4 linked regions of the Arabidopsis thaliana genome follow. The protein of the gene in region 1 interacts with the protein of each later gene in a pairwise test. Each region holds a gene or a part of one and is shown in the gene's direction. Other genes may lie near its edges. The genes, in order: OFP4, KNAT4, BEL10 and BLH2.

What was found.
Region 2: the proteins of OFP4 (region 1) and KNAT4 interact in a two-hybrid assay, tested with the Arabidopsis thaliana proteins (one large-scale study listed by BioGRID).
Region 3: the proteins of OFP4 (region 1) and BEL10 interact in a two-hybrid assay, tested with the Arabidopsis thaliana proteins (one large-scale study listed by BioGRID).
Region 4: the proteins of OFP4 (region 1) and BLH2 interact in a two-hybrid assay, tested with the Arabidopsis thaliana proteins (one large-scale study listed by BioGRID).

Annotation. Positions count from the first base shown.
Region 1 is NC_003070.9:2,122,818-2,128,282, reverse strand, and holds OFP4 (ovate family protein 4), read left to right. Parts: upstream 1-2,380; 5' UTR 2,381-2,481; coding exon 2,482-3,429; 3' UTR 3,430-3,607; downstream 3,608-5,465. Other genes in the region: AT1G06925 (endonuclease/glycosyl hydrolase), read left to right, coding at 67-132, 246-579; AT1G06923 (transcription repressor OFP17-like protein), read right to left, coding at 885-1,198, 1,283-1,481; TRFL7 (TRF-like 7), read right to left, coding at 5,369-5,425.
Region 2 is NC_003076.8:3,507,300-3,515,829, forward strand, and holds KNAT4 (homeobox protein knotted-1-like 4), read left to right. Parts: upstream 1-2,533; 5' UTR 2,534-3,108; coding exon 3,109-3,681; intron 3,682-4,172; coding exon 4,173-4,293; intron 4,294-4,489; coding exon 4,490-4,674; intron 4,675-5,008; coding exon 5,009-5,140; intron 5,141-5,298; coding exon 5,299-5,435; intron 5,436-5,634; coding exon 5,635-5,668; 3' UTR 5,669-6,442; downstream 6,443-8,530.
Region 3 is NC_003070.9:6,808,618-6,816,378, reverse strand, and holds BEL10 (BEL1-like homeodomain 10), read left to right. Parts: upstream 1-3,315; 5' UTR 3,316-3,536; intron 3,537-3,621; exon of another isoform or gene 3,622-4,175; intron 4,176-4,384; exon of another isoform or gene 4,385-4,451; 5' UTR 4,452-4,524; coding exon 4,525-5,268; intron 5,269-5,356; coding exon 5,357-5,742; intron 5,743-5,847; coding exon 5,848-5,908; intron 5,909-5,995; coding exon 5,996-6,421; 3' UTR 6,422-6,614; downstream 6,615-7,761. Other genes in the region: AT1G19710 (UDP-Glycosyltransferase superfamily protein), read right to left, coding at 1-264, 377-531, 624-895, 980-1,122, 1,192-1,459; AT1G19690 (NAD(P)-binding Rossmann-fold superfamily protein), read left to right, coding at 6,817-7,043, 7,129-7,221, 7,302-7,380, 7,469-7,547, 7,638-7,677, 7,747-7,761.
Region 4 is NC_003075.7:17,365,948-17,375,656, forward strand, and holds BLH2 (BEL1-like homeodomain 2), read left to right. Parts: upstream 1-2,967; 5' UTR 2,968-3,225; intron 3,226-3,231; exon of another isoform or gene 3,232-3,408; 5' UTR 3,409-3,475; coding exon 3,476-4,654; intron 4,655-5,500; coding exon 5,501-5,892; intron 5,893-6,363; coding exon 6,364-6,424; coding exon of another isoform or gene 6,425-6,448; exon of another isoform or gene 6,449-6,880; coding exon of another isoform or gene 6,881-6,940; exon of another isoform or gene 6,941-7,188; coding exon 7,189-7,776; 3' UTR 7,777-8,064; downstream 8,065-9,709. Other genes in the region: CP1 (cysteine proteinase1), read right to left, coding at 8,745-8,999, 9,085-9,225, 9,319-9,554. UniProt on the Arabidopsis thaliana protein: Transcription factor that establishes leaf shape by repressing growth in specific subdomains of the leaf. Negatively regulates knox homeobox gene KNAT1/BP expression.

The DNA of each region.
Region 1 (5,465 bases):
AAAGCGAAGCCCATTCTCAACCCTATATATTTGCGGGGTTGATATTTAATTTTATCTTTCAATCAGGGATTTCGAAACCGAACCGACTCTGCTTATCTCTCAGGTAAATTTCTCTGCTCCTTATCTCTTCATGTTTCTTTGCAAATTCATCGACTAATTGCATAGATAGCCTACAACTTATATATATATATATATTCTGAATTTGTTTTTTTCTTTTCTTACCTTTAAGGCCTTGAATGATGGAGGGAGGCAGCTGTGGCCACAATATCGGTCTATTGGGAGATAAAGGGGTGTCCGGTTCCGGATGGCTATGATGCTCTTCGGGTAGGTCCGTCTATAAAACGTAATTTGAGGAAGTTTAACTACACTGGCCCTATCACCATCACTGCCGTTGGCGTACTATCAGAGGTCCCTCGAGATTTCCTTGAAACCACTGGAGAGTGGAGTCAGTCTCTTTCTCAAGTCTTAGTTGTTTCTGAAACAGGTCCCACATACATGGTTTCGCTTTTCATTGACTCCCCTGATTCTAAGATTCCACGTCCACATAATACCTATGAAGACGACGAGGCTCCCCCTTGATTATTTTCCGGAGAAATAATGCCTACTACCATTGGTGAGGGAAGAAGCAACCAAACCTTGAGATTTCTCATCTTTTGAATTCTGGGGTTTACCGGAAATCTTGGTAAATAGAAATGTGAAATGTACCATCCTTTAATAATCTTTTCTTATTATCTTTTATTTCCGTGATTTAATGTAGTAAAATCAAGTTCCTGTCACTTGAAGTTGTACAACTTACAAAAAAAAAACAGAACACAGAGAAAGCTACTCTGTATCCAATGCTCTGTGTTATCATGCATATATTATAAAACCCATTTCAATGATCTTTAATCGTCATGGTCGCTTGGAAACAGGTCAGTGCAGAGCTCTCCATAGAATCTAGTCACAAGATCAATGAAGATTGGACTATTAAGATTCTTCCAATAATAGAGAAGCTCTTCCATGTCCATCAAGTCATCTATTTTCCCATCTTCAACGAACATATGGATCATATAGTTCTCGAATCTTCTGCAAGCCTCTTTCACACCATCTTCCTTTAACATATGTCTTTGACTCGTCCTCGCTTTCTTGTTCCTTTGCGTCATAGCCAAAGGAAACATCTTTCTTGAATGCAGAAGCTTGGAATCATCGATCAGACTAGCTGCAGTGGCATATTTGTAGAATAAAATTTAGATCAAAGGTACTCTATAAAATCGACAATAGTTACAAAAGAAATTGTTGTTACACGGGGAATTTCTGGGTCTGATCTGGCTCATCCTCTGCTCCTTATTAGTATTGAGAAAACAGAGACGAGACAACAAAGAAGATGATGAAGATTGTGTGGTATTGACATTGCGAAAACGAGCATGGAAGAAGGAGATGAATCTGTTGCATGATTTTGAAAGCTTTGATTTCAAGCTAATCAAACTTGACTTCAGTCTCATTCTCGATCCTTCCGAAGCTGATTTATTCTTTGTTGTTGTTGTTGTGGTATAATGTGTAGGTTTGGGAGGGTGGTTCGAGTTACGTGGGTTTCACGTCTTTTCCTTTGACACGAAGTCGTGATGGTGGAGTCCCATGAACTTGAGCCTTAATTTGAATGTTTTTTGCAAATTTAATTTTAAGCTATAATCTGACCTAGATATTGTCACATTATGAGTAGGAGGAGTGGGTAAATATATCGGTGTTTACTGGGATCAGTAGTAGTCGTTAGGGTTGTGACTGACCCCGCTCGTTTGTCGAACCCTAGCTTCAAATATGAGTCGTTGACCCAAAAAAAAAAAGCTTTGGTCAAACACACACGTGTGAGGTAGGGAGACCACAAGCTAATTGGTGAAAAGGAGACGACACGCCGAGTTTTATGCAAATATGTCTTTTATTATTCTCTACAGTTTCTTCTACACCATTATTGTTATATACTATGACTATGGCTATATTAAGAGATTGGACATGAACCTGAAATCTTGTTTAACCTCTTTTGTTGAAACCCTTTGTCACGTTCGCCGAATTATGTTTTGGAAGCAATTTACCAGAAATATTCTATTTAGTCTAATTGATACCCACCAATCGACCTACTACCGACAGACAATTTTTGAGGACACTTTGTTGCTCAATTTTCAAGTCTAATAAAACCTTTTAATTCTCAATCTCATCTACGTACACCTCAATTATTTCGATTACACCGGTTTAGATAGGATATTTTATTTAAATTTGATTTGATTTGGTTTAACTTGGTTATTCGGTTAGGGAGAGAAGCCGGAATGAGTTTGGTACAAACAAAGACATTCTATGAAGTGGATCCCAATTTTGTTCCGTCTTGTCCCTTTTACATCCCAATTCTACACTTTCTTCTCTCTTTTATTTGTCACATAGAAACTCTGCAAACTATACATATTTTTTTTCTCTCTTTTATCTGAGAAGATCACTTATTTTTTGAAATTAGAGATGAGGAACTATAAGTTAAGATTGTCAGTTATGAGCCCAAGTGAATGGTTCCACAAGCTCAAGAACATGACAAAACCTAGAAAAAAGCATTCTCTTCCTCTTTACTCCATAAACACTACCAAGAAGAGAAAACCTTCCTCTGAGTCAAAGTCTCTTCCTTACTCTTCAACTTCTTACTTCTTCAATAGGTCACGCTCACGCACATCCTTTGAATCTAGGATCCTTCAAATTTCACCAAGAAACTCTCTTCACAACATACAGAGCAAAAGAAAGACTGTTTACAAGCCTTCTCCTCCTTCCTCTTCTATTGTATCTGCAGGTTTTAACAAAACATTTCATCAAAGCCATGATTCTCTCTCTGCCTCTTCCAACTTGAAAGTCATTTCTTCTGAAGATGATATTATCATCGACATGAATAATAGAGATTTCAAGAAGAAAACTTTCAAAGAGATCACGAAGTTTGATTCAACGGAGAAAGCCTGTCGTGCAAGTAACCGAACCAAGGAAACACATATACCTCATCATCTCTCTGTGAAGGTCAGTAAAGAGAAAGAAGATGAAGAGGAAGATGCATGTCGAACCAAGAAGAAACATCAGAAAACATTAGTTTCTAGTGGAAGAAGATCATCAGCTAAATCTCCAAGGATAAAGCTCAGAGCGAGATCTCCTAGAATTCAAGTCTCGCCTCGTAGAAGCAAATCAAGATCACAGAACAAACAAATTCTTGACAGTTTTGCAGTAATCAAGAGTTCTATCGATCCGAGCAAGGATTTCAGAGAATCAATGGTGGAGATGATAGCAGAGAACAACATCAGAACCTCTAACGACATGGAGGATCTTCTAGTATGTTACCTTACCTTGAATCCCAAGGAGTATCATGATCTCATTATCAAGGTTTTCGTTCAAGTCTGGCTTGAAGTCATAAACTCTACATTTGCATCGAAGTAGAATGAACTATGATCAAAAGCTTTAAATCTCTGGTTAATTGTAGTTCTTTTAAAGAGTTTGATGTAGCCGTGGAGATTTTCTTTGCAAGACCAGTTTTTGTGTTGTCTGAATAACGTGATAAAGACATATAAATCACTCGCTTCCTTTTCGTCTCTGGTTATGGTTTGTGAAGGTAATAGAACATACTTATTCAGTAATTTAAAAATCAGTAACTAAAACATACTTATTCAATACATGCCTCATGGATGATAATAATTCAATTTTAGAATTAAAATGTGAAACAGTATGTGCTGCTAAATGTTTATGTGATATTTTCAGAAACAATATACAAATCCAAAGAGTTTTATTATATTAGTTTCATGTAGTGATAAACCTTGGATTAGATTAGGATTGATGGAGTTTAGTCATGGTAACGACTTATGTAACAAGAGCGAAAATGTCAAAAGAAAAAAAAAAGAGTCAAGAAAAGGCCAAAAGTGTAGTGACAAGAAGCCACACGGAGACAAGTCAGAAACCCATCAAGTACGGAGTAGAAATGGGTTCCAGTCCTAATGAGTAATGAAGCAGGAAACATGAAAATGGAGCCTGAATAACATAAATCGCTAGAGAGAGAAACTAACACTGACACAGAAGAGTATATGGTTAAAGAGGAAAAGCAGAGAGAGAGTTTTAAGAACCTAAAGGCTCTTTGTTGTCGTGATGAAGAAGATGAGGACCACTGTTTTGCTGCTGCTTCCCAATGCCCATCTCCTCTACCATCTATTTATACTGGTAGTACTTAGTACGGTATGGACAGACATTTCTTGGGAATTGATCAAACCACAAAACATAAACATTAAATGATGAAACACCAAACTCGATTTTGATATATAGTGCACGGGAAAGGCCGGTTTAATACAAACTGTAGGCCCATTAAAGCGAAGCCCCATTATCAACGCTATATATTTGAGGCGTTGTGATTCTTATTCTTCTCTTTCAAACAAGGATTTCGAAACCCTAATCGATATTGAGGTCAAGATTCAAACAACTCTGCTTATCTCTGAGGTAAATTTTTCGAAACCCTAATCGATATCGACTCATTGCGTAAATGAAACACCAAGACAGTAGAAAACGTAATAGAAAATAATATGAAACCGAAATGAACTGCTCGTCTACATTTGACTAAGGAACCTAGTTTACTTAACAAAACCATTCACTAGACAATCATCGTCGTACGCTATTCTATGGGTCTTAAAGACAAAAGGCTACAAAATGTTACCCAGTTTTTTTACAATACGTCATTGTTCAGCAGTTGTTGGTACTCGTCTACTCACAAAAAGGTCTGATGCCTACTCCAGTACTCCAATACCTATAAGCAAAGAATGGAAAATTGATGGAGCAATTATACGTAAGATTAAGAACAACGAGAGATATAATTATGATTTTAATGCCGAAAAGAAAGTAAGAAGATCATCAGCTATTAAAACACCAACCCTCCTAAGCTCAACTAACCCATTATAAAGTTAGACTACCATGATGGGTGAGCATTGATTTGTTTACCCATCAATTTATCACATCAGTGGTCAAATATATAGAAATCATAAAATCCATTATTCCTGCATATTCAATTTCTCCCTTCTACAGAATATGACTCGTTGACATAGTAAAAAACCAACATTGATAGTATTTTATATGCTGTATTAAGAAGCATTATACATACGCTCATAGTTCTACAGGTAGAGTTTACCTTCAAAGCTAACTTGTGTAAGCAACTATTGGCTTCTTAGAACTTGGCTCACTATTTGTGAGGGTTCATATCATTACCCCTCTTCTACTCTACACACTTTAGTTTCGGGGAACTGAGATGCTAATGCAGCAGTACTTTATTGTTATTCTCTTCTAAAGGTCACCAGGGTGACGATTGTACCTTATAGACTATGACTATGTTTAACTCACCTACTCAATGACGGCGCTCTTCACGTCTCATCTCAACTCGAAATTTATCTTTAATATCACCCTGTGAGAGAATGTGTCTATTATTAGAAACAAGATAAAAT
Region 2 (8,530 bases), on another chromosome or scaffold:
GAACAATAATCAAAGCAATAAGAGAAAGTAATTCACTATAGGAACAACTTTGGCATCGTTACAAAACAAAGTGAAAGATGAAGAGAAAACATCCTTTACGTTCCATCATTTTCATCCACAAACCTGACAAAAAGCTTCCTATGTTCTTTCTCTACTCTATCTTTATAATAAAATAAAGTATTTATGTTCTTTTAACTCAATGTTTTGATGTATATGTTGTCTATATTGTTAGGTTCCTTGTAATTTTCATCTATCACAAGCCAAGTAGTGTACAACAAAACAAATTAACAAAAGAAAGCATCATCATTATGAGCATCATCCTCGTATTAGATTCACTGTTTCTACAAACATCTTTTAGGAAAGAAAAAAAAAATTCCAACAAAACTGAATATCTTTATTTTGCTGAGATGACATTGTTTTGTCTTGTGTGTTAAGTTCTTGTGTTCAATATTGATAAATATAATCAAATGGCGATAGTTGACAAGTCACCAGGCCAGCGATCAAATACAATCTCTACGATCATCACATACTTATTCAAGGCTAGCTGCGTCTATATATTATAAAATTTTCATATAAGTTCCATATTAGTTTTTGTTTGTTTGATTGGCAAATGCACGGTTTTAATAATCTTGTTAGTCAATAAAGTTTAAAAATCAATCGCAAACCACTATAGATTAGTGTTTCCATAAAGAAGATTCATTGGCTTATGTATCAATGACTATTTAAAAAAAAAAAAAAATTGTAAACTAGACAAGATTTTTGCTAACAACCCCAATTATCATTAACTAATTAATTAATGATTTTGTTTCTGTCCCTAATATAGACAGCACAAGTTGTTGATTAAGATTCTTTGTACCACCCTACTCTTAGCTTTGGTCCTAGACAATCAATATAATTAAGTAGGTCCAAATCCAAGGCTTGTTTATGTGAATGTGAAATAAGAAATAATCGGTGATTTTTATTCAAAAAAGAAAAAATAATCGGTGGTGGTCGTTCAATCAGTAATCTCGAGGTCCGAAAGCACAATGCATATCACGAGTTCAAGATTTACTGGTGATTACAATTAACTTGGCACATTGTAATTACAAGATTTTTATATATATATTTCATGTTTCACTAACCATAAGGTAAGGAAATAAAAATAAAAATGAAGGAGTGATTAGTTGGAGCCGTAGGCCGTAGGGAACTTCGTCGTTTCTCGTAGAAAAGAGTGTAGGGACGACAAGAGTTGTTGTGAAATGGACGACTGTGATCGTTAATGTGACTCTCTTTGTCCAATCATGTGTTAGCTGATTCCACACGAAACATAGACCTTATCACACTGGAAGTTTACTTGACACATGTCTCTACTCTTTTATTCATCATCACTCAGACCTTACTGTTTGGATATTTTGGTGGATTCAACTTTGTCGTTTAGTCTCATTCATCGGCTCTCTCGCGTGTATCGCACGCAAATAGAACACTCAATGGCCAAATCTTGGAAGCAGTCAATGGCCACCAACCTTCAATAAATTACCACTAATCATTGGATAGTTCTAAGAAATGTCTACTTTCATATATTAATGCCAATTTTACCGGTTAAATTTTGACTTGACAACAAAAGATTTAACTTTTCTTATGAATACAAAATCAAAGAATAAATTTAAACTGAACAATTGGTATACGAGATAGAGAAACCAACTTCGATCAAAGTATGAGTAACGAAGCTTGATCAAAGTATGAGTAGGTTAAAGTTAAATTACTTTTAACAAGGTAGAGACAGGAGTGGTCGTGGATATAGGTTAGACTAGTCTAAGTGATGGAGCTTAATTAGACGGTTACGAATTGTTTTGCATCACATTCCTAATAAGTACATTAGATGGGTTTGATACAAATCGATGGATATTTATATTGTATTGCTTCCAATTCTCATATTAAAAACATTTGGAACCACATGCAAAAATTTATATGCTTGTAACATAAGTATATAATCTATTTATTTGTTTATTTTGTCAATGCTTAGTGATCAAATTAACAAAGTATAAGTATATGTATGTTTCTATAATATCTGAAATATTTATTCCTAGATAATATGTGTATGCCAAACATTTGATATCGTGTATCTGTAATCATGTTTTTTTAGCAGAAGTCATGAGTTCATACCAAAATTAATATGCAAATTTTATGTTTTTTCTGATGATGGGATTAAATTTGTCGTACTTTTTTGATAAGACAGCAACTATAAGCTTAAGTCAAATTTCTGAAATTGGTCCCCCACACCTCTAAATTTTTGAATCGTTTGTATTTTTTTTGTTACTAAATACAAAATAATGTAAAATTTAAATTTGTACGGCTGGATTCTCTTATCCGATCTATCGCATGCCAATTTCTTCAGGGACCACAATTAGAGGAAATCGTTATCACGACACGTGTCCTCCGATATTTTTGGCGCCGAGTAGTGACGTCATTATTAATGGTCCCCTCCTTCCTTGCTTTTTTCCCATTCGTCTACTCTCCTTTTTCTTTAACAAATTATCTTTTTTTTCCTCCGATATTCTTCAAAATTTGTTTTAAAATCCTTTGCAGATTTGTGTAATTTATTTACTTTTGCTTGGTACCAAAAACAAATAGAGCAAAAATGAGCAATTCTTTTTGATAAGCAGAAAAAAATGTTAGGAACGAATGAAGAAAAAGTGATGCAGCTATTTCCTTTTACTGTCACTTCGTAATTCGTATCATTCTTTTGCCGTCAACTTCTACCATCTCTTTTTTTTGTAAAACGATAAAACTTTTTGTTGTCGCTGTAAATGTTAGTAATCTGACCTAATCCCAATTTATTATGGATCACCAAAAAGCTGGTACTCTACAATTTAATAATAAAAGAAGAAGAATAAATATAGGAATAAATCGTCTTTTTTGGTGTAAGCTACATATAAAATTCAAACCGTCAAACACACATACACATCGAAACCCTTATATTTCATTTTCTTTCTGTTTTAGAGAAGAAAGTTTCTATAATTGATTGATAAATCTGAACATCAAAGCTAAGAATTTCTCTTCTTTTTTTCTTCTTAATTCATCTTTCCCTCTCCGAAACAGAAATTCAAAAACAAATTCAACACGAAAACGATGGCGTTTCATAACAATCACTTTAATCATTTCACCGACCAACAACAACATCAGCCTCCTCCTCCGCCGCAACAGCAGCAGCAACAACATTTTCAAGAATCAGCACCCCCTAATTGGCTCCTCCGCTCCGACAACAACTTCCTCAATCTCCACACAGCTGCCTCTGCCGCCGCTACAAGCTCCGATTCTCCTTCTTCCGCCGCCGCTAACCAGTGGCTCTCACGATCCTCATCCTTCCTCCAACGAGGCAACACCGCAAACAACAACAACAACGAAACATCCGGTGACGTCATCGAAGACGTTCCCGGCGGAGAGGAGTCAATGATCGGAGAGAAGAAGGAGGCGGAGAGGTGGCAGAATGCGAGACACAAGGCGGAGATACTGTCTCATCCACTATACGAGCAACTTTTGTCGGCACACGTGGCGTGCCTGAGGATCGCAACGCCGGTGGATCAGCTTCCGAGGATAGACGCACAGCTTGCTCAGTCTCAAAACGTCGTGGCTAAGTACTCAACTTTAGAAGCCGCTCAAGGACTCCTCGCCGGCGATGACAAGGAGCTTGACCACTTCATGGTAACTTAACTTCTCTTTCCTTCTTACCACTCTCAATTCCCATTATTTTATTCCTTTTCTTTTCTTTTGGAAAATAAAATCACTAAAAATTACTTTCATCTTTTATATTTAAAACGGTTTGACAAATTTGAATATTTTGTTGTTAATTATCTCCAAATTTATAAAAGTAAATTAGAGAAGAAAATCAAAAATTCTTTCTAGACTTGTACTTTGCACCGACAGACATGATCAGTGGGTTGGATAAATCGTCAGTTAAAAATTTGGATATTAGTTTTGCACAGTAGTAATTTGACAGCATAAGGTTTATTTTGAGATAGATTTTTGCTGAGTGTAAGTGATTGAGCAATTTCATTGATTGCAGTTACGGATACAGTGATCTGACAAAAACTAGTTTGTCACTTTCTGTATCTATATCCCATATTTTACTGTTCATGGACGTATTTGTATGATTGTATCTGTTGTCTGAAAGATATTTCCATGTTTTTGTGCAGACGCATTATGTACTATTGCTTTGCTCTTTCAAAGAACAACTGCAACAGCATGTTCGTGTTCATGCAATGGAAGCTGTTATGGCCTGTTGGGAGATTGAACAGTCGCTTCAAAGTTTTACAGGTTAGTTTTTAAGACTTCTACTAAATTATCAACTTTAATTTGTCATTTAGCTGTTATGGTAACTTTTGTATTTCACTATAGTATTGTAAAAGACACAAGGTTCTTTTATTTTATTTCTCATTTCAATGCTGTTTTTTATATTTAGTACCTACTTCTTGAGGTTTTAATTTAACACTTGTTTTGTTGAATGAGACAGGGGTATCTCCTGGTGAAGGCACAGGAGCAACAATGTCTGAGGATGAAGATGAGCAAGTAGAGAGTGATGCTCATTTGTTTGATGGAAGCTTAGATGGGTTAGGGTTTGGTCCTCTAGTTCCCACTGAGAGCGAGAGATCTTTGATGGAACGAGTCAGACAAGAACTCAAACATGAACTCAAGCAGGTAACTAGTGAAATATACTATATCCATCATTTACTACTACACATATATAAGATCAATGATAACAAATCCTTCACACCTTATTATATATCGTTGTAGCTAAAGTAAATATGCTTCTATTTAGTCCAATCAACCAAGAACTTGTCAAAACTTTATTTTTGATCTACAAAAAGACTCAAATGAATTTATGATTTTTAATTGTCTGAAGCTTGTTTGATGAGTTGTCAGTTTGCAACATCTACATAGTACTTACACGCACTTATATGCATGAAAATTGTGGTACACACTATATATAGTTAGCTTAACTAATGATATTGACCCATGTTTTTGTGAAAAGGGTTACAAGGAGAAAATTGTGGACATAAGAGAGGAGATACTGAGGAAGAGAAGAGCTGGAAAATTACCAGGAGACACCACCTCTGTTCTCAAATCATGGTGGCAATCTCATTCTAAGTGGCCTTACCCTACTGTGAGTTCCCTCTTTCTACTTCTTCAGTCACTCGCATGAACACGCCTCGTGGGTCTTTACCTAGTTCTGTCCCGAAAATCTTTGACTACATCATTTTTGCAACTTCATATGCTTTCTCAATCTCCTAAGTTTTAAATGAATCATGTAAATTTTGACAGGAGGAAGATAAGGCGAGGTTGGTGCAGGAGACGGGTTTGCAGCTCAAACAGATAAACAATTGGTTCATCAATCAAAGAAAGAGGAATTGGCATAGCAATCCATCTTCTTCTACCGTCTCAAAGAATAAACGCCGAAGGTACTTTGCACCAACATAACTTTATAGGAAGAGTATCCAAGAAAAGACAAAATATGATCACACGATAAGATACAATCTCTGAAATATATATATGTTAGGTGTGACAAAGTTTAGCTTGTTTATGTATGGTTAGATTAATGTTTAGTTACATTTTCAAGATATATGGAGTCATTAAATTTGGAGGGTTTTCTTTATGAAGCAATGCAGGTGAAAACAGCGGAAGAGACCGTTGAGATCAAGCTTGCATGTAGAGATCCAAAAGCTTTATAGAAAGGTGGAGGCATGAAGACAAAGAATTCTTACACAACAAACGTAGGACGTAATTTTGTGCCAGTACATGGTATGGCTTTCATATTTGGTAATGATTAGGGCCACACAAAATTAAACCCCAAAGCATGATTTGTAATATGAGGTTTTAGATGGACTTTATGATAGGATCGTCAGTCTTCACTGCCATCTCCATTCTCCACCATCAATCCATCATTATATCTTGTGAATAACATGGAAATTTCTCGTTATGCATTTAATTTGTGCAATCATTGGCCGTAATCTACACAAATATACATATTAATTTAGCTTGAATATATTATCTCAATTAATGGTTTCAATTTTTTTGTTTTGTTTTGTGAGTGGAACCACTTTTTATGTGGAATTGTTAACCCTAATGCCAAAATCTAAACTCTGCGAAGGTCGCCAGCAAACGAAAGAAAGAGATTATCTCCGCCGTTGTCAAAATTATTAAAAGGGATTATAAAGTTTTTCAATTTGGGCCCCTTTCCTGCGTTTTCTTTATTGTCCATTATGGGCCTCATTGTCTCTAGACTCTCTACCTTACAGGGTTTGCTCGCCGACGTTTCATACATAGTCCTCTTGTTTCTAAGGATGCCGATTAACACTTTTCATTTTTATCAACAAACTGGCTTGCAAGGGTTTTGAACCTGAGTGATGACCTACCATTTCTATCCATACTATAATCAGATTTTTTTTTGTTCTTTTTTATAATCAAGTTGGTGAAATAATTAACAACAATACTAGCACAAATCATTAACATAATGGTTCATACCTCATAGCCATATAAGATCATGAAAAAGTTATAGTTTTAGAAGTTTGTTTTTATTTTTAGTTAAAATTTAGTTTTTCCAATTAAGACCGAGTTATTAGTTAACAATGTAAAACTTAAGTAAATGCGATTTCTTTGGATTGGTTTGATTCGACTACAGTAAAACATAGGTCTTTGTTTTGTTTTAACCATAATAAAATCAATTGGATTATAAATAACTTTAGTTCTAATTCCGTTTACACATTTAGGTTTGCTTCAATTATAATCCTTCATGGAGATAGATAGCTAGATTAGTGGTGGTAATAATGTATGAGTTGAGAGAGTCTCTTTTTAGGTAGAATAAGATTGCACATGACGTGGCATTGTGAACGTTGTGGGGTTTTGTGATTGGTCTTGTCTTCTACTTACAAGACAGTCATATGAGAGGAGCATTTTAGAGCTGGCCCAATCATAAAAGACAGCTAGCTCTCTGTGACTCTGTGTTATCCGTTATGTTGCAGCAGCGACGAAAACAATTTGCTTCTTCTTCTTCTCTTTTGTCCTTATAGATAATACTTTTCTTTTCAAAATCAATTCACAATTGCTGAAGATATCAAAGATTCGTTATCTGAAAGTGACGCAGAAAAAGTACACAAAATAAAAGTGTTAGTGGGTAACTGGAGGATAGATAGAGAATATAAACAGAGAGGACGACAAAGAAGTTCAACATTCTCTCTAGTTTATCGCGCGCTTCTTTCTGTTACACGTTAGCCAATCTATGAGGAACATTTTCTGATTTTTTTATATGTAAGTATATTAGGATAATCATTGATACAAATATTCGATTCATCTGGTGTTTCTCTAAAAGATTAGGATATTTATGGGAGAAGAAGCTCTTCCTCGAACACCAATACGAGGAAATAACGTTCAATGAAGTTTGACATTACATCTTAATATTATATTTTAAGATATTTTTTAATATGCGATGAAGGAATTCATCTATGTAGTACGGTAACAATTGCAAGTTGAGGACGTCACGATTTCATTAGTTTTTATGGCATATCTATATTCGTCGTTGGGGACACGATGCAAGTATATTATTTTTTTTTGATAAAGCAAACTTTACAGTTGACAAAAAAAAATTACACCTTTACAATTTACAAAATATATGTTTAAAACATATCATAATACATTTGTTAATTAGAAACACTATGGATTTATATAGAAAATGTACTGGACTAATGGTGGATACAAATATCTAAAATGGAAACAATCAATGACGATGATTGATATTGAATGTTGTGACTCGATAGGAGATCAAGTCTAGAGATAGTTGTAAGGGAAAAAGTAGAAAAGAGTATAATACACTAAAAATGTATAGTAGACAAAACGAGCAAGATTTGAGGCATCAGAAGAGAAAGAGACATGTCGACCGGTGGCAAGTGGTAGGTATCACTATGTAACAACACAAACGTCAAAACATGTGAGAAAGCGTTTTTGCTTCGCTTTTCTTTTTCAATTTTCCCCACTTCACTTCACTTCACACAGTCACACTCTTATCCTCAGTATCTCCACTTCTTTTTTCAATGAAATGTTGTGGATAAATAATACGATAATTGGCATCCACTATCTTAAACCAGCTTTGTATGACTATGCCCGTGACAGCTTACCAGAATCTCTGTGTTTTGATTAATACTATTTCCAGACACTAAAGGTTCTTTTTTCCTAACCTAATTCATAATTAGTCGAAACGTAAAGATTGATTCTTCTAATTATTAATATTCATATATAATTCCAGTAGCTGAATCAGGTTCCTGTGTTCTATCTAAAAGTATACTATACAAATAAAAACCTTTTTCTTCTCGACATGAGTTTAATACTATATGAATATGACTACACAAATATTTTTATATTTTTTGAAAAAGATAAATATGTTGATGTTGTATACCCAAAAAATTGTGTTTTAGCTCCAAAAAAATACCAATGTCTTGCTTCAACGGTCTCAATGATCACGATCCATAAATCATAAATTTTATAAAGTTCAAACGTTTCTAGC
Region 3 (7,761 bases), 4.7 Mb from region 1:
GGGAGTTTTGGACAAGAACGTCAATAGCTGCTAAATATGGTGCTACCTTCATTGTTTTGTTGACAAAGTGGACAATTTTTTGAAGTTTCATCTCTTGGACAAAGTTGCGTAGCTCTGTCTCAAATTTCGTCTGTGCGCTCATATCGCTTCCTACTACCACTGCATGCATTGTTGGTACCTCAAGTTTCTTAGTCTCTTTGATTACTTTAAGACTTTCATGGAACGCTCGGAGGAATAGATCTTGGCCCTTTCCTCGAGATACACCTGCATAAGAGAAGCACCAGTCAGAAAGCAAATTAACCAAAATTTTGAGTCTTTTGCAGATTATGATTCTTAAAGAAACTAAGGAAGAGAAAGAATGTAAGAAATGACTAACTATTAATAATGCCAAATAGTATGTCTTCATTCCTCACTCCAAGAGATTCTCGAACTTGCTCACGGAGAACATTCTTGGCGAAACTATCTTCAGCTACTTCCATCAACTCCTTGCTATTTCCTAGGTGCACGACATAAGTTTTAGGCATTTTAATCCTGTGTTACAACAATAAAAGAATAAACACTGTTAAGCTTATGACAATAACGTAAACTAATATATCGCAAGACTCTACAGAGAGGAAACAGACCCTAAGCGATCATGAGTTCTGTTCTTCCAGTATTCAGCTGTTGCGTGCGAATCAATCATAGCACCTGCAACAAACGGAAGGTGCTTGACTAAATCCGGTTTGAAATAGTGACCTCTCATCTCATGAATCCACCAGAGTACTTTAGGAAGAACTTTAGGAACATTGTCCTTGAGAACTGCATCAAGCCATTTCCCAGCAACAGCAGTGTTTAAAACAACCAGATCAGACTTGAGAGCTGTATCTATAGCTTTCTGACTCTTTGCTGATATCACCTGAATGATTCAAAAAAGATTGATCACTAACAATTATGATACGAATCAAAGAAAAACAATGGAGGTGGTTAGCTAAATCTGAACCTGGACTCCTCGATCCAACATCTTGTGTTCTAGAACCTTGATCACTTCATCTTCTTCAACTGGTTTCTGATTCGTGATCCAAACAACTTCAGATTCAACTCCTCTAAGCAAAAACGCCAATTCCATTAACAATAAAGGTCCACCTAAAATCATCACTTCAAGTTTAGCCATAGAGATTTTGACAAGAGAGTAACACGATCACAAAACATCACCTGAGAGCGAGAGTTCATGAGAAACAAGTAAAACGAGCTTTGATTTCATGAACTCGAGAGGATTCAACGATCCAGAAACCGATTGGATCTTAATGTCACTGTTATCTTCCTTCTCTCGGCTACATCTCTTTCCACTAACACTACAGGAATCAAAAGTAGATCTCACGAGAATCATTCCTACTGTTGATACAGATAAAACCAATAGAATCATCAGTGGCCATCTCTTCTTCTGCAATGTTGCCCACATACTCGTTGATGGCTTCGCCATTGTTTCTCTCTACAGCTTAGAATCACATCCTAGGGTTTACACAGTAACAATCGATCTCAGAACTTTCTAAGGATCTGTCGTCAGTGATGGAGAAAGCTTGGAACGAAGAAGTTTAGAGGAGAGATTTAATGGGGAAAAGCCGCTAATCAGTGTTGACTCTTTGCAGAAGTTTGCAATTCACGCCGTTTTTGTTATTTAGAAGGAAGTTGATTGCCGTTTCTCAGCAGGCCCCCGATGGAATCCTCTCTTCATATTTATAATGGGCTTTAAAAGGCCTATTTGCTAAAAGCCTAAAACTAAACTAGTTATGATGATAGTTAATGCATACTATATGGTTTTAATTCTTTTTTTTTCTTAAGCTAAGCTAGGCTTCAGATTAGTTTTGCTGATACAATTTTGGTTTGGTTTTGTTTGGTTCTAATAATGGAGAGCATAATGATTTCGATCCATAGAATATAAATGTTACAAACATGAATTTTAGTGGTGATGATCCGTCTTCATATATGGTCCAACAATGTATGTGGCAATAAATTCTTTTACTTTTTGTTACACGGCCATAACTTGTGGCTATTTATTATAAAGTTTTTTTTCGGATATATCCATGTAATTAATATATTTGACAATTGGCAAGAATTATTATACTTCAACATTTTCCTCCAAACCAAAGGTTGTTCATTTCTTACTCACACACATTTTCCTCGTTTAGCATCATCGATTCATCCTCAACTTTAAAATATGATTTACAGAACCATACGGTTTTAAAAATAATTACATCATTAATAATCTAAATTTTTAGTAGATTTAATCAATCTCTCACCAGCTAACTGCCTAATTAATTTATTTTTAATCATCATTATAAATCAAGATCCACGTGGAAACAAAAGTCAATATCATCATCTCTCAAAGACTCAAAACACATGAATAATAATTTTCCAACACAATGGTACTTGCCAAATGATTTTGTGTCGGCTGCTCTAAATCCAATCTCCAACAAACCAAAACGAAACTACTTGTTATTTTAAAAATCAGAGGAAATGGATTATATTATTAGTGTAGCTATAAAGATAATCTTTTACGTATTCTTCATTGTGGAATATGCAAATACAAACATGTAAGTGTATAACTAAAAGGTTTATAACAAAAGAAATAAAAAGACAAGAGAACTTAGAATAAAAATTGGGTATAACAGAAGAGTAAGGAGGGACTCACCAACTGGTTGTTAAGTCATTTAATCCATCAATTAAGCAATTGAGCAGACACACACCCACCTTTGTTTTATCTTCTTCCTTAAACCAGCTTATCAGGGTCAGTTTTGTAATCTCATATTCCTACCTATAATGACGTTTCTATGTTTTATTTGATGGAGTTTAATTTCCGCTACCATGCATAACTAAAAGTATATCCGTTATATCAAACATTTAAAGAAAACCTCAAAGATATTGAACTACAAAGTGCTCAAGAAGTTCTATTAAAAATGTATCGAACTTTAACTTTATGATGAAAGCAAGGTGATAAGAACAAATAGTTTAAAAAAACATTTTAGTTTGAAATCCAAATCTAGACTCTATAATTTGTGGCAGGTAATAATTTCACTATTTTGGAGCCTCACGTACACAAATCAGGAAGTCGTTAAAAGTTTCCCACGATACCATGGTAATGTACGCATTATAGATTATTTCGTTTAAATAGTTAGATTTGGTTTTTTTTTTTAATATACAAATACTAAACTTTTCATATATAAACACTCATTCCTTCAACTTTTTTCTTTTGGTTGTATTTAGTTAACTTATACGGAAAAGTAGTATGAGTCTCAAGTCAATGACAACACAACATCATTAAAGTATAATACAATCATCTATAAAAATCCATTTATTTGTGTGTGTGGAATTGTTAAGTTTTGTATGTTAAAGTCGTCATAAGAAATATTATCACGTAATCAAGAAAAGAAAATTGGTGATTTGTAAGCTCTCACGTGTTTCTCTATGAATGGTTGGCACACAAAAAAAATCATATTAATTTATCTTTACTCTAAGCATCAGAAACAGAAGCTTCTGCCGCAAAAAATTAAAAATTACAGGTAGCGGTTGTCAAATTTTTCCGGTAGTGATCATTATTTTATTTTATTGTTGATATTGCATAATAATATTTTTAAAAATTGGGTTGGTGTCTAATGTCCCAATGATAAGTTGGGTTGGTTTTATTGTTCTTGTGGACTGAAAAAAATTTGTTTATTTAAGAATTTTGCAATTATTAATCGCCTCTTTCTCTATCTCTCTCGGGATTGGGTCTCAAATCTTTTTTTGTCTTCAACTGTTCGAAACTCTTCTGCTTTTGTGTTTCCTGATTCAGCCACATCCACACTCACAAACACAATCTCTAGGTTTTTTTTCTTCCTTTTAACTTTGATTCTCTCCCTCAGGTAGTTTTTAAAAATTCAAGTTCTTGATTCTTGATTCTTGATATGATTAATCTTGTACTGTGTTTCTTGATTATTATTTTTTGTATACTTTCTGTGTTTTTTTTCTCCCTTGCTTTTTGGAAATTCTCCTACAAGAGATGAAATCATCAAGACACTTTACTTCTTTATGTAATAATTGAATCTTCTCTGCTTTTGACTCACTACGTTGAGCTACACAATTTCTTTTTACTCTGCATTTTTTTTTCCAACCTCAAATTAGGGTTTTTTTCTCCTCTCAATTTCACCTCCATAGATCGGGTATTCCTCTACGATTACACAATTCCTGTATTGGGTTTTTCTGGGTTTCTTCAGTTCTTCACGAAAAACATTTGCTTTTTATCAAGAATTTGACTTTAATCCTCCGAATAATTTGGTCCGATTCTGTTTGTTGCTTTCGAAACTGTTTATGTATGATATATAAAAAAAATGGTTTGGTGTGAAATGATTACGATGTTTTAACCTCTCTTAGATTCCATCAGAAATTTTTAAAATTCCACACCTTACACGACTCTTCTTCCTCTTATTTTTTTGCAGGATCTCATTTCCCGACCAAACTCATCGAACTAAGAACTCACTGTAATAAAACTTTTAAAAGGTGTAAACACCAATGGCAGTTTATTACACAAGTAATGTCGGTTGTTACCAGCAAGAACCAATCTTTCTCAACCATCAACAACAAAACCAACAAGCTTCTTCTTCATCCGCCGCCGCTTCTTTCACCGTCACCGGCGGCGATACTGTTCGAAACGAGATGGTTTTTATCCCACCAACCACCACAGGAGACGTTGTAACAGGAAACGGTACCGTTTCAAGCAGCGATCTAAGCTTTCACGATGGTCAAGGACTGTCTTTGAGCCTTGGTACTCAGATCTCTGTTGCTCCGTTTCACTTTCATCAATACCAATTGGGGTTTACTAGTCAGAATCCTTCAATTTCAGTCAAGGAAACGTCACCGTTTCATGTGGATGAGATGAGTGTGAAGAGCAAAGAAATGATCTTGTTGGGTCAATCTGATCCTTCCTCTGGTTATGCTGGTAATGGTGGGAATGGCTTCTACAACAATTATCGGTATAATGAGACATCAGGAGGGTTTATGAGCAGCGTTCTGCGTTCTCGGTATCTTAAACCTGCTCAGAATTTGCTTGATGAAGTGGTTAGTGTCAAGAAAGAACTAAACCAAATGGGGAAGAAGAAGATGAAAGTTAATGACTTTAACAGTGGTTCTAAGGAGATAGAAGGAGGAGGTGGTGAGTTATCGAGTGATTCGAATGGGAAATCGATTGAGTTATCTACAATTGAACGTGAAGAGCTTCAGAACAAGAAGAACAAGCTTTTAACAATGGTTGATGAGGTAACTAACTTACATTTCATAAAACTACCTTTGGTTTATAACAGGATTGATGGTGATTTGGTTGTTGTGGATGTGTTAATGGTTGCAGGTAGATAAAAGATATAACCAATATTACCATCAAATGGAAGCATTAGCTTCATCATTTGAGATAGTAGCAGGACTTGGATCAGCTAAGCCTTACACATCAGTTGCTCTCAACAGAATCTCTCGCCATTTTCGTGCTCTTCGCGACGCAATAAAGGAACAAATTCAGATTGTTAGAGAAAAACTTGGGGAGAAAGGAGGAGAGTCGTTGGATGAGCAACAAGGAGAGAGGATACCAAGGTTGAGGTATTTAGATCAACGGTTGAGACAGCAAAGAGCTTTGCATCAACAGCTTGGAATGGTTCGACCTGCTTGGAGACCTCAAAGAGGTCTTCCTGAAAACTCTGTCTCTGTTCTTCGCGCTTGGCTCTTTGAACATTTCCTTCATCCGTAAGTGTTTCTTCTCTCACAAGTCACAAGTCACAATCTTTCAATCTCCCAGTACAAAACATTTAGAGAGACTCTATGTTTTTCTTCTGTTTTTTTTATTTGTAGATATCCGAAAGAATCTGAGAAAATCATGCTTGCAAAGCAGACAGGATTGTCAAAGAACCAGGTATAAACCAAGCTTTTGGTCTTCACTTAAAATTTGCACCCTTTGTGTTCTGCTTGAATAATTCTGGTTTCTCTGCTAAATGATTAGGTTGCTAATTGGTTCATAAACGCGAGAGTTCGTCTGTGGAAACCGATGATCGAAGAAATGTATAAAGAAGAGTTTGGTGATGAATCTGAGTTACTAATCTCCAAATCTTCCCAAGAACCCAACAGCACAAACCAAGAAGACTCCTCATCGCAGCAGCAGCAGCAGCAAGAGAACAACAACAACAGCAACCTCGCTTATTCATCTGCAGACACAACAAACATTGTCTTCTCATCAGAAACCAAACCAGATCGTGTTCTAGGCAATGATAACGACCCACAGCAACAACAGATAAACCGCTCATCGGATTACGACACTCTGATGAACTATCACGGGTTTGGTGTTGATGATTACCGTTACATTAGCGGAAGCAACCAGCAAGAAAGCAGATTCTCCAATTCCCATCACTTACACGACTTTGTTGTGTGATATTATCTGGTTCTTCTTGGTACAGAGGAGATGATTCTTGAAGCGCAAGAAATGTGCTTTTGCATTTTTATAGTATTAGGCATAATACACCCATTCTCTATGGATTATATAGTAGATGTGTAGGTTGCTTTTGTGTATAGTAGACTCTTAAGCCAAATATTGATATGTGTGTATAATAATATTCACGGTGGTATAAAGGATACTTGCAAGTGTGAAAAAATCTGAACTTGAGACTTTTGTGGTAAATGTTTCACGATTCTTTATAGTATATATCACTGGACTGTAAAAACGAAATGCAGTCCTTGATTTTGAAAACAAAACGGCACGTAGTTTCTTTGTACTGTGAATCAGTTAAAGTACAACAGACCTTGGAGTCTCTCAGTCCTCCGATTTCAATGGCGGTTTTTCAGTTACCAAGTTTGTCACCGGAGATTCCTTTCCGTTTTACTCCCACACCACTTAAATTTTCAAATCGTAGGAGAATCAACTTTTTCCGGCCATTATCAGCAACCGACGATTCTCGATCCGGTGCACCAGATCCAGAATCGCCGAACCAAATGTTCATTCTCGGGATGGGATTCGTCGGAGGTTTTTTTGCGCAACAGCTCAAAGAATCAGACTGGTCTGATATCTCAGTTTCTCTCCTTATCTCTATATCTATCTATTTTCATCTTTCTCCGATGGTGTTAACAATTTTGGAGGTTTAGGGTGGTTTCAGGGACTTGCAGGAGTGATTCTAAGAAGAAAGAATGGGAAAAGAGAGGAATTAATCTTCATCCATTTTCTGCAGACTCACCTGAGTATTTGTTTTAATCAGATCTTCAATGATGGTAATCTCTAAAATCTGAGTCTTAAACTCTTTTGTTTGCTTGTTAATCAGATGGAGCTTGCTAGATTCAGTGAAAGATTACACTCATCTACTCATTTCCATTCCTCCTTTAGCTGACATTGGTGATCCGGTTTGCTTTCTTCTCCAGCTTTTATCATTAGAGCTTAATGTGATTTCTTATTTGATAACACTGTCTTAACTGTGATGACTTCCAAAAGATGTTGCGGAATGTAGAACTTGTGAGAGACAAGCTTTCGAGTGGAAATCTTCGATGGCTTTGTTATCTCTCATCAACAAGTATTTTCCTTTTTAACTTTCCTCATTACATCAATGCTTCTGCTTCCACAGTAGACAGGAACTTACAATACTTCTCTTTGATGCTTGCAGGTGTGTATGGAGATTGTGGTGGTGCGTGGGTCAATGAAAAGTAAGTTTCTTTCTTCCAAGTTTCATCTCTTTTGTTCATGATAGATAAGGTCGTTCCTTCATATTGCAGTCATCTCCCAAATCC
Region 4 (9,709 bases), on another chromosome or scaffold:
CGACGATTGATGGATATGAAACCATATGGTATATTGACTAGACAATAAATCAAACCTACGTGGCTATGAGACTATATTATGAGTCCTTGTAATAGCTTTTGGCTAATCAAACCTTTTTTTATCTCCTTTAGAGAAAGTGGTGACTTTAATCTTCTAACAAATTGCAATTGCACCACATTTAATCAAATCAAACCTAACTCTAATTTTATCGAATCTGGATGATAACTCATAATTTTTCCTTCAACGTACTTAAAAGACCAAACCCGATGAAAGCCTTTTCAACAATAACTTAGTTCATGATCCTTTTGTCTGAAAACAGGATCTGGAAATCAACGTTGTTATAGTCAGGTAATATGAAACCTATCACGACAGATATAACAGATCATTGCAATATATAATAACATTTCATATTTAATCATAATTTATCACCACGAGTTTGTATATATATAATCATTTGGTTTTCGTGAAAAACTAATTGTGTAAATATTTCTTTATAAGTTTGTGATTTTTGGTAGCAAACATTTTGTTTTATGGACTCATTGTCTTTGCTTTCATGTTTTTTGTTTTTCGTAGGACCAAATTTATAGGTTATACATTCATCTAAAACCTTAAAAAAATCAACTAAAGATTTACATTCTTACTGATCATAGCAAGTAAATTAGTCTCCTTTGTGTTGTCGAAATGACTCAACCTCACAACATGATCACACTTTCTGATCCAAGAGCTATCCAAAATACACCGGTTACATTAAACTACGAACACATTTCAATGATAATGAACAGTTAAACACATTACATAGCTTTGGTTATAAGACGCAGAAATTAAAAAATCAATCAAAATATTCGATACTATGAAATTGAATGTTCATGTGAGGTCGAAAAGCGGAAACGTGTCGAAATAAAAATGAAGAGACTAATAAATATGTTGAAGGTTAGACAATTGACACCATTGAAGATATGATAAAGCAGAGGAAAAAGGATCCATTACAAGTTGGCTTTGGTGGGTAAAGAGTATAAATGCCTAAGAAGAAGATCCTCTCCACACGTACGAAAAAGGAAGGTTCGGCACGTAACAGATAGTTGTGCATACGTGTGAAAGGAGGGTGGGATTCACGTGAGAGAGATTGAACCATTTCTATTTCAGAAAGGAAAAAATAGAAAACGAGAAAAAATATCGGTAGGAAGGTAGAAAGGTTAAGCTGTCAATTGTCATTCCAGGTTTTGTAGTTGGAACATAAAACTTTTGTAGCTATAATTTTAAAATAAAACCTGCAACGTATTTTTATGAAATTTTACGTTTCTAGGGAATATTAAAATGGAAAAACAGAGTGTTTTTATTTTATTTTATTTTAATTACTACTCCGACATGAATTAACTGTGTAAAAATAAAAAATAAAAAATAACAGAATTTGCGTGCTGATATGATTTTGACATGAAAGATTCCCACATGGTGTCACACAATAAACAAAATTCAATGTTATTATATAAGTGGAGTTACACTTGTGCTTTCGACATTTCCATTAATTATTTATCCCAATATGGACTTATGCCTACGGTGCGATATCTAATACTTTCTCTAACCATTTGTGGGATATGCACCAAAACTCGAATTTGGGAATGCTATTTTTTTAGCAAGACAGACGTGATACGAAATATGTCACCGCTTTAAGAAAGAAATTCCGATATCTATATATTAACCATGGAATTAAAAATATAGTCTAGCCATACCAAAAAAAGAAACTCAAGTACTCGAACTCAAAGCTGTTGAACCAAAAAAACGGTTATGTGTCGATTTCATCGGTTTTCTAGATTATCCCCCACATAAACCTAATTAACATTTTGAGCACTTGACTTCTGAACCGTCCTCCTACCTTTCACACGTTCCAAACCACAACTCCCGCTCGTGCGAACTCTCATCTTTTATTGTTTATTTGATACACCAAACAAAAAAAATGCACACCGAATTTCATTACATTATCCTTCAAGCCATTCATAGTTACATCGTACTCGACCCTCAAGTAGTAAAATTTAATTTATGATCACAAGATCGATGGCCGGAAAAAATAGTTTGAATATATACTTTTTCTAGCCTTTGCATTATTTTGCATGAGTATTATTACTTCGGCCATGCTAATTGTTAGAAAATACAGCTTACATTTTATTTAACACTGTATTGGTATATATGTATGTGGGATATATTATGTTATCATTAGAAAATGCTAATTAATATGTAACTAATTTGTCATTTCCCTGAAAAGTCGATTGGAAGGGATAATTAACTTGTGGTTAGAACTTAAAATCAATTGATTATATGAGATTAATTTGTTGTGGTGTTGTGATTACGACCAGTCGTACGGAGTTTTAGAGAGTCATATTCTCGCATAAAGTAAGTAAATTCAATTTTGATGTAGTAGAAAAAAAAAATTAACAAACGTTAAGAAGATTTTTTTTTTTTTTATGAAGTTTTTTATTTACGAAGATCTTTTAGGGTATTCCAGGTTAAGATAATAGAGATATGCTACATTTAAAATAAATGTGTAGACTTTAAATTATGCTGATGAGGACTGGGGAGCTATGCACCAACAATGACCAGTTACGTAAATATGGACTTAATTGACCCTATCTGCGAGTCAGTCCAGTGAAATCAGAAGAATGACAGATGAGGGTATTATGGGAAATATAAATATGGCAGTATTTTAAATATTATATATGTTTTTTTTTTTTGTCACGATAGTATTACTAAAATTTATGGTGGTGGTTCGTATCATTGAGATATGACCTTGTACTCACTTAAAAAAAAAAAAAAAAAATTACGAAAATAAACATCTTCAAATTGTTAATGGCAGAAGACATTTACGTGAAAAAAAGACGCATCTTAGAAATTTCTATCCTTCAATCCTACTATTAACCTTTTCAACTAAATCTTTCATAAGAAACCATAGTTTAAAAAATCACCGATTTTTTTTTTGCACGAGCAGCTTTATATATATATAGGAAACCAACTAATAAAGAAGATTGGTGGGCTAAAAAGGGTGACGAAGAAGAAAGAAGAGTGACCTCTCTCTCGCATATTTTTCTTTCCGATATATATATCTTTTATAATATTTGTGAATTCTGAATAAACTCTTAGTAAGAAAGAAAAGGAGAGTCCAGAAAAAGAAAGCGAGAAAGAGAGAGAGAAAACGATACCTAAGCTCAATTATCTTCTCTGCAACAAACTCCAAAGGTATTATCTTCTTATGCTCTCTCTTTGCATACATACATATATATAGATACCTACATATATATATCTCTATGTCTTTGTTCATCATCAGTTATATAGGTGATGTAGATAGATGGACAAAAAAACAGCGTAAGACCTAGTTTCTGACTTACATATGTTTTAAATTCTTTGTCTGAATCATTACAGGATCCGAGAGAGAGAGCTCTGGAACGATATTAACATATATCATGAAGAAAAAGATTGAAGTATTGATATGGGAATAACTAAAACTTCTCCTAATACTACAATTCTCTTGAAGACTTTTCACAATAATTCTATGTCCCAAGATTATCATCATCATCATCATCATAATCAACACCAAGGAGGTATCTTCAACTTCTCTAATGGATTCGACCGATCAGATTCTCCCAATTTAACAACTCAGCAGAAGCAAGAGCATCAAAGGGTAGAGATGGACGAGGAATCTTCAGTCGCCGGAGGTAGGATTCCGGTCTACGAATCAGCCGGTATGTTATCCGAAATGTTTAATTTCCCCGGAAGCAGCGGTGGAGGAAGAGATCTCGACCTCGGCCAATCTTTCCGGTCAAATAGGCAGTTGCTTGAGGAGCAACATCAGAATATTCCGGCTATGAATGCTACGGATTCAGCCACCGCCACCGCAGCCGCCATGCAGTTATTCTTGATGAATCCACCGCCACCGCAACAACCACCGTCTCCGTCATCCACAACTTCCCCAAGGAGCCACCACAATTCTTCAACTCTTCACATGTTACTTCCAAGTCCATCCACCAACACAACTCACCATCAGAACTACACTAATCATATGTCTATGCATCAGCTTCCACATCAGCATCACCAGCAGATATCGACGTGGCAGTCTTCTCCCGATCATCATCATCATCATCACAACAGCCAAACGGAGATTGGGACCGTCCACGTGGAAAACAGCGGAGGACACGGAGGACAAGGCTTGTCCTTATCTCTCTCATCGTCTTTAGAGGCTGCAGCAAAAGCGGAAGAGTATAGAAACATTTACTACGGAGCCAATTCTTCTAACGCATCACCTCATCATCAATACAATCAATTCAAGACTCTTCTTGCTAATTCTTCTCAACATCACCATCAAGTATTAAACCAATTCCGATCATCTCCGGCTGCTTCTTCCTCTTCCATGGCAGCGGTCAATATCTTAAGAAACTCGAGGTACACAACGGCCGCGCAAGAGTTGTTGGAAGAGTTTTGTAGTGTTGGAAGAGGATTTTTGAAGAAGAACAAACTTGGGAACAGCTCAAACCCTAATACTTGCGGTGGTGATGGTGGTGGCAGCTCTCCTTCGTCGGCCGGAGCAAACAAGGAGCATCCTCCTTTATCGGCGTCTGATCGGATTGAGCATCAAAGAAGGAAAGTGAAACTACTCACCATGCTTGAAGAGGTATGTTCATATTAACTTTTAATATTGATTTTGACTTTGTCTATACTCTACAGTGATATTAGTTCATACATTTTACGTAAAATTGTTTTCGTTACATTTCGATAAGATTCATAAATTGATCCAAGAGTTATGACAAAGAAACAAGAAACCTGATATGACTGAATTGGTCTTTTGTTTTCTCGATTAACTACTTATTTTTGATTATTTTGGTAGAGTTTGATTGCGCAATCCTACCATCATTTGTTTAAAATTAAAATTAATTTAATCATTTTGCTCGTGTGACGGTCGTATTAGAAAGTATATTGAATATTTTGATGCTTAGCGTTTGGTGGAATCGATTAATCAAAGAAAATGCATTAAATAATTACGATTAATTATGTAATTGGCGTTTCCTTCTCCATATAAGCTACTCTCCAGTTACGTCCTAAAGCTAACCCTTGACGTTACTTATTTGTTTACCCATAATTGAATTATCTACTTTTTAGTTGACCTTGCTTTTTTCTCACTAGAAATAAATATTTTAGTTTATGCTCGAGGATACGATAAAATGTGCTGTTGGTAGGATTGCGCAAACATTGAAGTATATTCTCTGGTCAATAATTTGTCTATATAATATCTTATTTTCTTATTTTGTCTCGTTTAAAGGTAACTAATTAATCTCATTAGTTTATTTATTAGATGATGCTCGTACACAAGCATAGGTTCCCGTGATAAAATCTACACTAAATAATAATCACGTGAACATATAACACAACACACACGAGTTAACAATAACATTAATTAAAAGAAAAAGGCAAATATTGATATTTATGGATTGTATAATGTATAGTTTTGTTTCGTTGGCAGGTGGACCGACGGTACAACCATTACTGCGAGCAAATGCAGATGGTTGTGAACTCTTTCGACATAGTAATGGGCCACGGTGCGGCATTACCGTACACCGCATTGGCTCAAAAAGCTATGTCAAGACATTTTAGATGCCTTAAAGATGCAGTTGCGGCTCAGCTTAAGCAGAGTTGCGAACTTCTTGGGGACAAAGATGCAGCGGGAATCTCTTCTTCCGGGTTAACAAAAGGTGAAACTCCGCGTTTGCGTTTGCTAGAGCAAAGTTTGCGTCAGAACCGTGCGTTTCATCAAATGGGTATGATGGAACAAGAAGCTTGGCGGCCACAACGCGGTTTGCCTGAACGCTCCGTCAATATACTTAGAGCTTGGCTCTTCGAACATTTCCTTCACCCGTAAGTCAATTTTTTCTTTCTTTCTCGTTATTTATTAATTATTATAGAGAAACTGAATTTTGAAAAAAGCTGAGAAAAAGTATTTATTTTCTCGTTATTTCACCTCTACTTTCTTTAGTACTATGTCTCTAGAATTTTGCTATTTTATTGTTAACGAGAGTGAACGAAAAAATGGAAATAAAGCAAAAGAGTAGTGTTTTTGTACTATTTTCACCTCTCTGACAAATTGCTTTAAGAGTAAAACAAAACAAAAAAAGCCAAGTAAAAAAAAAAAAACTGGATCGATGATATGTAATCATCAACTTTTCTTTTGTCTGTTAGATTCTCACGCCCTTGTTAGGAAAAAGTCTGTACTTTTTCTTGCGTCTACTTGATTGTATTGTATATAGTGAAAAGATAAAGAAAATAAATTACATTGAGTTTATTAGGGCAAAGATAGAGAGTGATGTCATTTTCTGGTCTCTTTCTCAGGTATCCAAGTGATGCAGATAAACACCTATTGGCTCGACAGACTGGTTTATCCAGAAATCAGGTCAGTCTACATATATACATATAGCCAACGATATAATGAAATTTAAAATCTCCATGAATCAAATACATATGCCTCTACTTCACCAAGTTGTGTTAGCTGAGTATACTCTTAATCAGACAATCAAATGACCACAGTCTGGATTACGAATTCTTAACCGCGTGTTTTAAAGATTTGTTTTAAACCCATCATTCTATGTTTATAAATAAACTCCACAATAGTACACAGTTATATATATAACTACAATATTAATTTATCACCCAAACCCATTTCATAATTTTCATAAACATATACATGCTTGTTATAAACATCAAATAATAAATACTAGTAGTTACTCAAAACGAATTTGACTAAGCCAAAATTATTTGACACCATGTACGAGTACACTAACTAGTAGCCTGAGATGACTCTATTGCATGGTTTTTGTTTCTTATCTTTGTTTGGTTTGTGATATGACAGAGGAACACCATGTGTTTTGCCTTCCACTCACCATTAGCTTTTCTTGGGATTCGTCTTTAAATTATTATAGCATATTTATATATACAAAAACATAGGAGAGAGAGAAAGAGATCGACATTAAAGACGCAAAAGGGTCCATTTTTCCTCAAGTACATCAAAGTTTGCAGCTTTCAATTGTCCCAAAGAAACCCTCAATTTCTTGTATCCCTACATTAAATAACCAAATGACAAATAAACAAAAAGAGCCCTCAATTTTATTTCGATATTATAATGATTCAACTAGTGAAAATTTTGTCTCTTTTATTCAGGTATCAAATTGGTTCATAAATGCTAGGGTTCGTTTATGGAAACCAATGGTGGAAGAAATGTACCAACAAGAATCAAAAGAAAGAGAAAGAGAAGAGGAATTAGAAGAGAACGAAGAAGATCAAGAAACAAAAAACAGCAACGACGACAAGAGCACAAAATCCAACAACAATGAAAGCAACTTCACTGCCGTTCGGACCACTTCACAAACTCCAACGACAACCGCACCAGACGCATCAGACGCAGACGCAGCAGTAGCGACAGGCCACCGTCTAAGATCCAACATTAATGCTTACGAAAACGACGCTTCATCACTTCTACTCCCTTCCTCTTATTCCAACGCCGCCGCTCCTGCCGCTGTTTCTGACGACTTGAATTCTCGTTACGGTGGCTCAGACGCGTTTTCCGCCGTTGCCACGTGTCAACAAAGTGTAGGTGGGTTCGATGATGCTGACATGGATGGTGTTAACGTTATAAGGTTTGGGACAAACCCTACTGGTGACGTGTCTCTCACGCTTGGTTTACGCCACGCTGGAAACATGCCTGACAAAGACGCTTCTTTCTGCGTTAGAGAGTTTGGGGGTTTTTAGTTTGCTTTTGTCACTCCATTTAATTAATTAATTATAGTTTCCATTCTTACTTATTTTAATTGAAAATCTATTTTTGTCTCTTAAAAGTCAAAACAATACATTAGTCTAGCCCTCCTCTGCTTTTTTTTTTCTATCTCGTGAAGAGAAGAAAACGATACGTAAATCCCTTCGAAAACTAATGTACGTTGTACGACTTATTGTTTTCATATATCTGTATTCTTGGTTATTTAATTTCTCGAGATTTCTTTAATTGTTCAAAATGAAAACCTTCACTTTATAACATAACAGTCCCAAATCGTTCGAAATCACTGATTTACAATCATATAGATTCACTTACCATGAATCCATGATACAAGCTTGAAGAGGTGACCCAATTGTTTGGGCCATCAATAAGGAAAGTGATAGGCCCAAAATTCTTTTATTGGGCTTTAGCGTATCTGTTTTTGTATAGATATCACACAAGTTTCTATAGATGTGTTCAGTGTTCATGCAGTTTTTTATAAATTTCTCACCGACATTTCTAGATATGACTAAAATGAATTTATGAACATGCGGCTTAAACCTTATTTTATCAGATCACTTAGTTAACATCTAGAGCAGGTGAAAACAAGAAGAAAAACAAATGTTGTTTTTGAGGTGCATAATGAAAATTGATGAGAAGAAGATTGAGGAGAAGTAGAAGAAACCGACTTTTGTTATGTTGTTAGTTGGATGAAGGAGTGAAAACCAATGGCTCTTAAGAAATATATCATTTTATTATATTTCTCTTAATACATAAAACAAGCAAACAATCTTTCTTTGAATAAAAAAGAAATTGATCGACATAAGGATTTATAAATTTTATATCCTTATGATGAATCAACTAATTTTTGAAATTGTTGTTGAAATACTATACATACAAACAATAATAACAATACGAGATTAAATTCAGTTATAAGAATCCCAAATGTTTATCGAGCGTCTTGATTTCAAACACTGCTGATAGTATTTCCACGAACCGGGTTTGGGCTGTACTTAACCGGGTACGAGGCTTCAACCGCAATCCCACACTTACCGGATTTGGAGGCTGCCAAGTTTCTCTCCATTCTAATGTAACCTTCCTCACCCCAACGTGGACCCCAAGAGTTCCTTACAATCCAGTAGTCAACACCGTTCTCTGATCCGTACCCGACAGCAACCACCGCGTGATCAAGATTTGTACCACAACTTCCGGTAAAAATACCCTGCCAACCAAAACCAATCAGGTTAATAAAAATCCAAAAACCCGGTTTTGTTACTTAATACACAAATCAATGTCGGTTCGCTTACCGATTGGTAATGTTGAAAAATTCTTCCACCGGCTTCAATAGCTACACTAACCGGTTGGTATGAAATAGCTTTCTTCAACGCAGTCTCGTCTTTAGTAGGAACATCTTCGTACCCATCAATACTCACAACTCTAGAATTCTTCTGCAAAAACACAAAGAGATAGGAAAAATAATCAGATTTTGCAATTCTTGAAAATAAAGTGAAAACAGAGCAACTCTGTTTTTGAGTGTATACCAAGAAAGAATTGCATTTTCCGCCGAATCCACGGTAAGGATAATCTTTCTCAGTGTTTAAGCCACCATTTTTCATGATGAATTGAAAAGCGTAGTCCATTAAACCGCCGTTGCAACCTTGATTGTAGGATTTGTCGCAGTCAACAAGTTCTTGTTCTGATAGAGATATGAGTTCTCCTGTTACGATCTTGTTTATACCTTCTACTGCTGCAGTAGTCGAAAACGCCCAACAACTTCCTGTGTTGATCAATACACAAACACAAATATTAACATCAATACACATGCTGCATGTGTTACATGTTAAGTTACACAAAATATAACACAAAAGTTTGTTCTGTTACGAACCATGTGTAAATATTAGACGTTCGTTAATAATATCAGTTTGATTATAA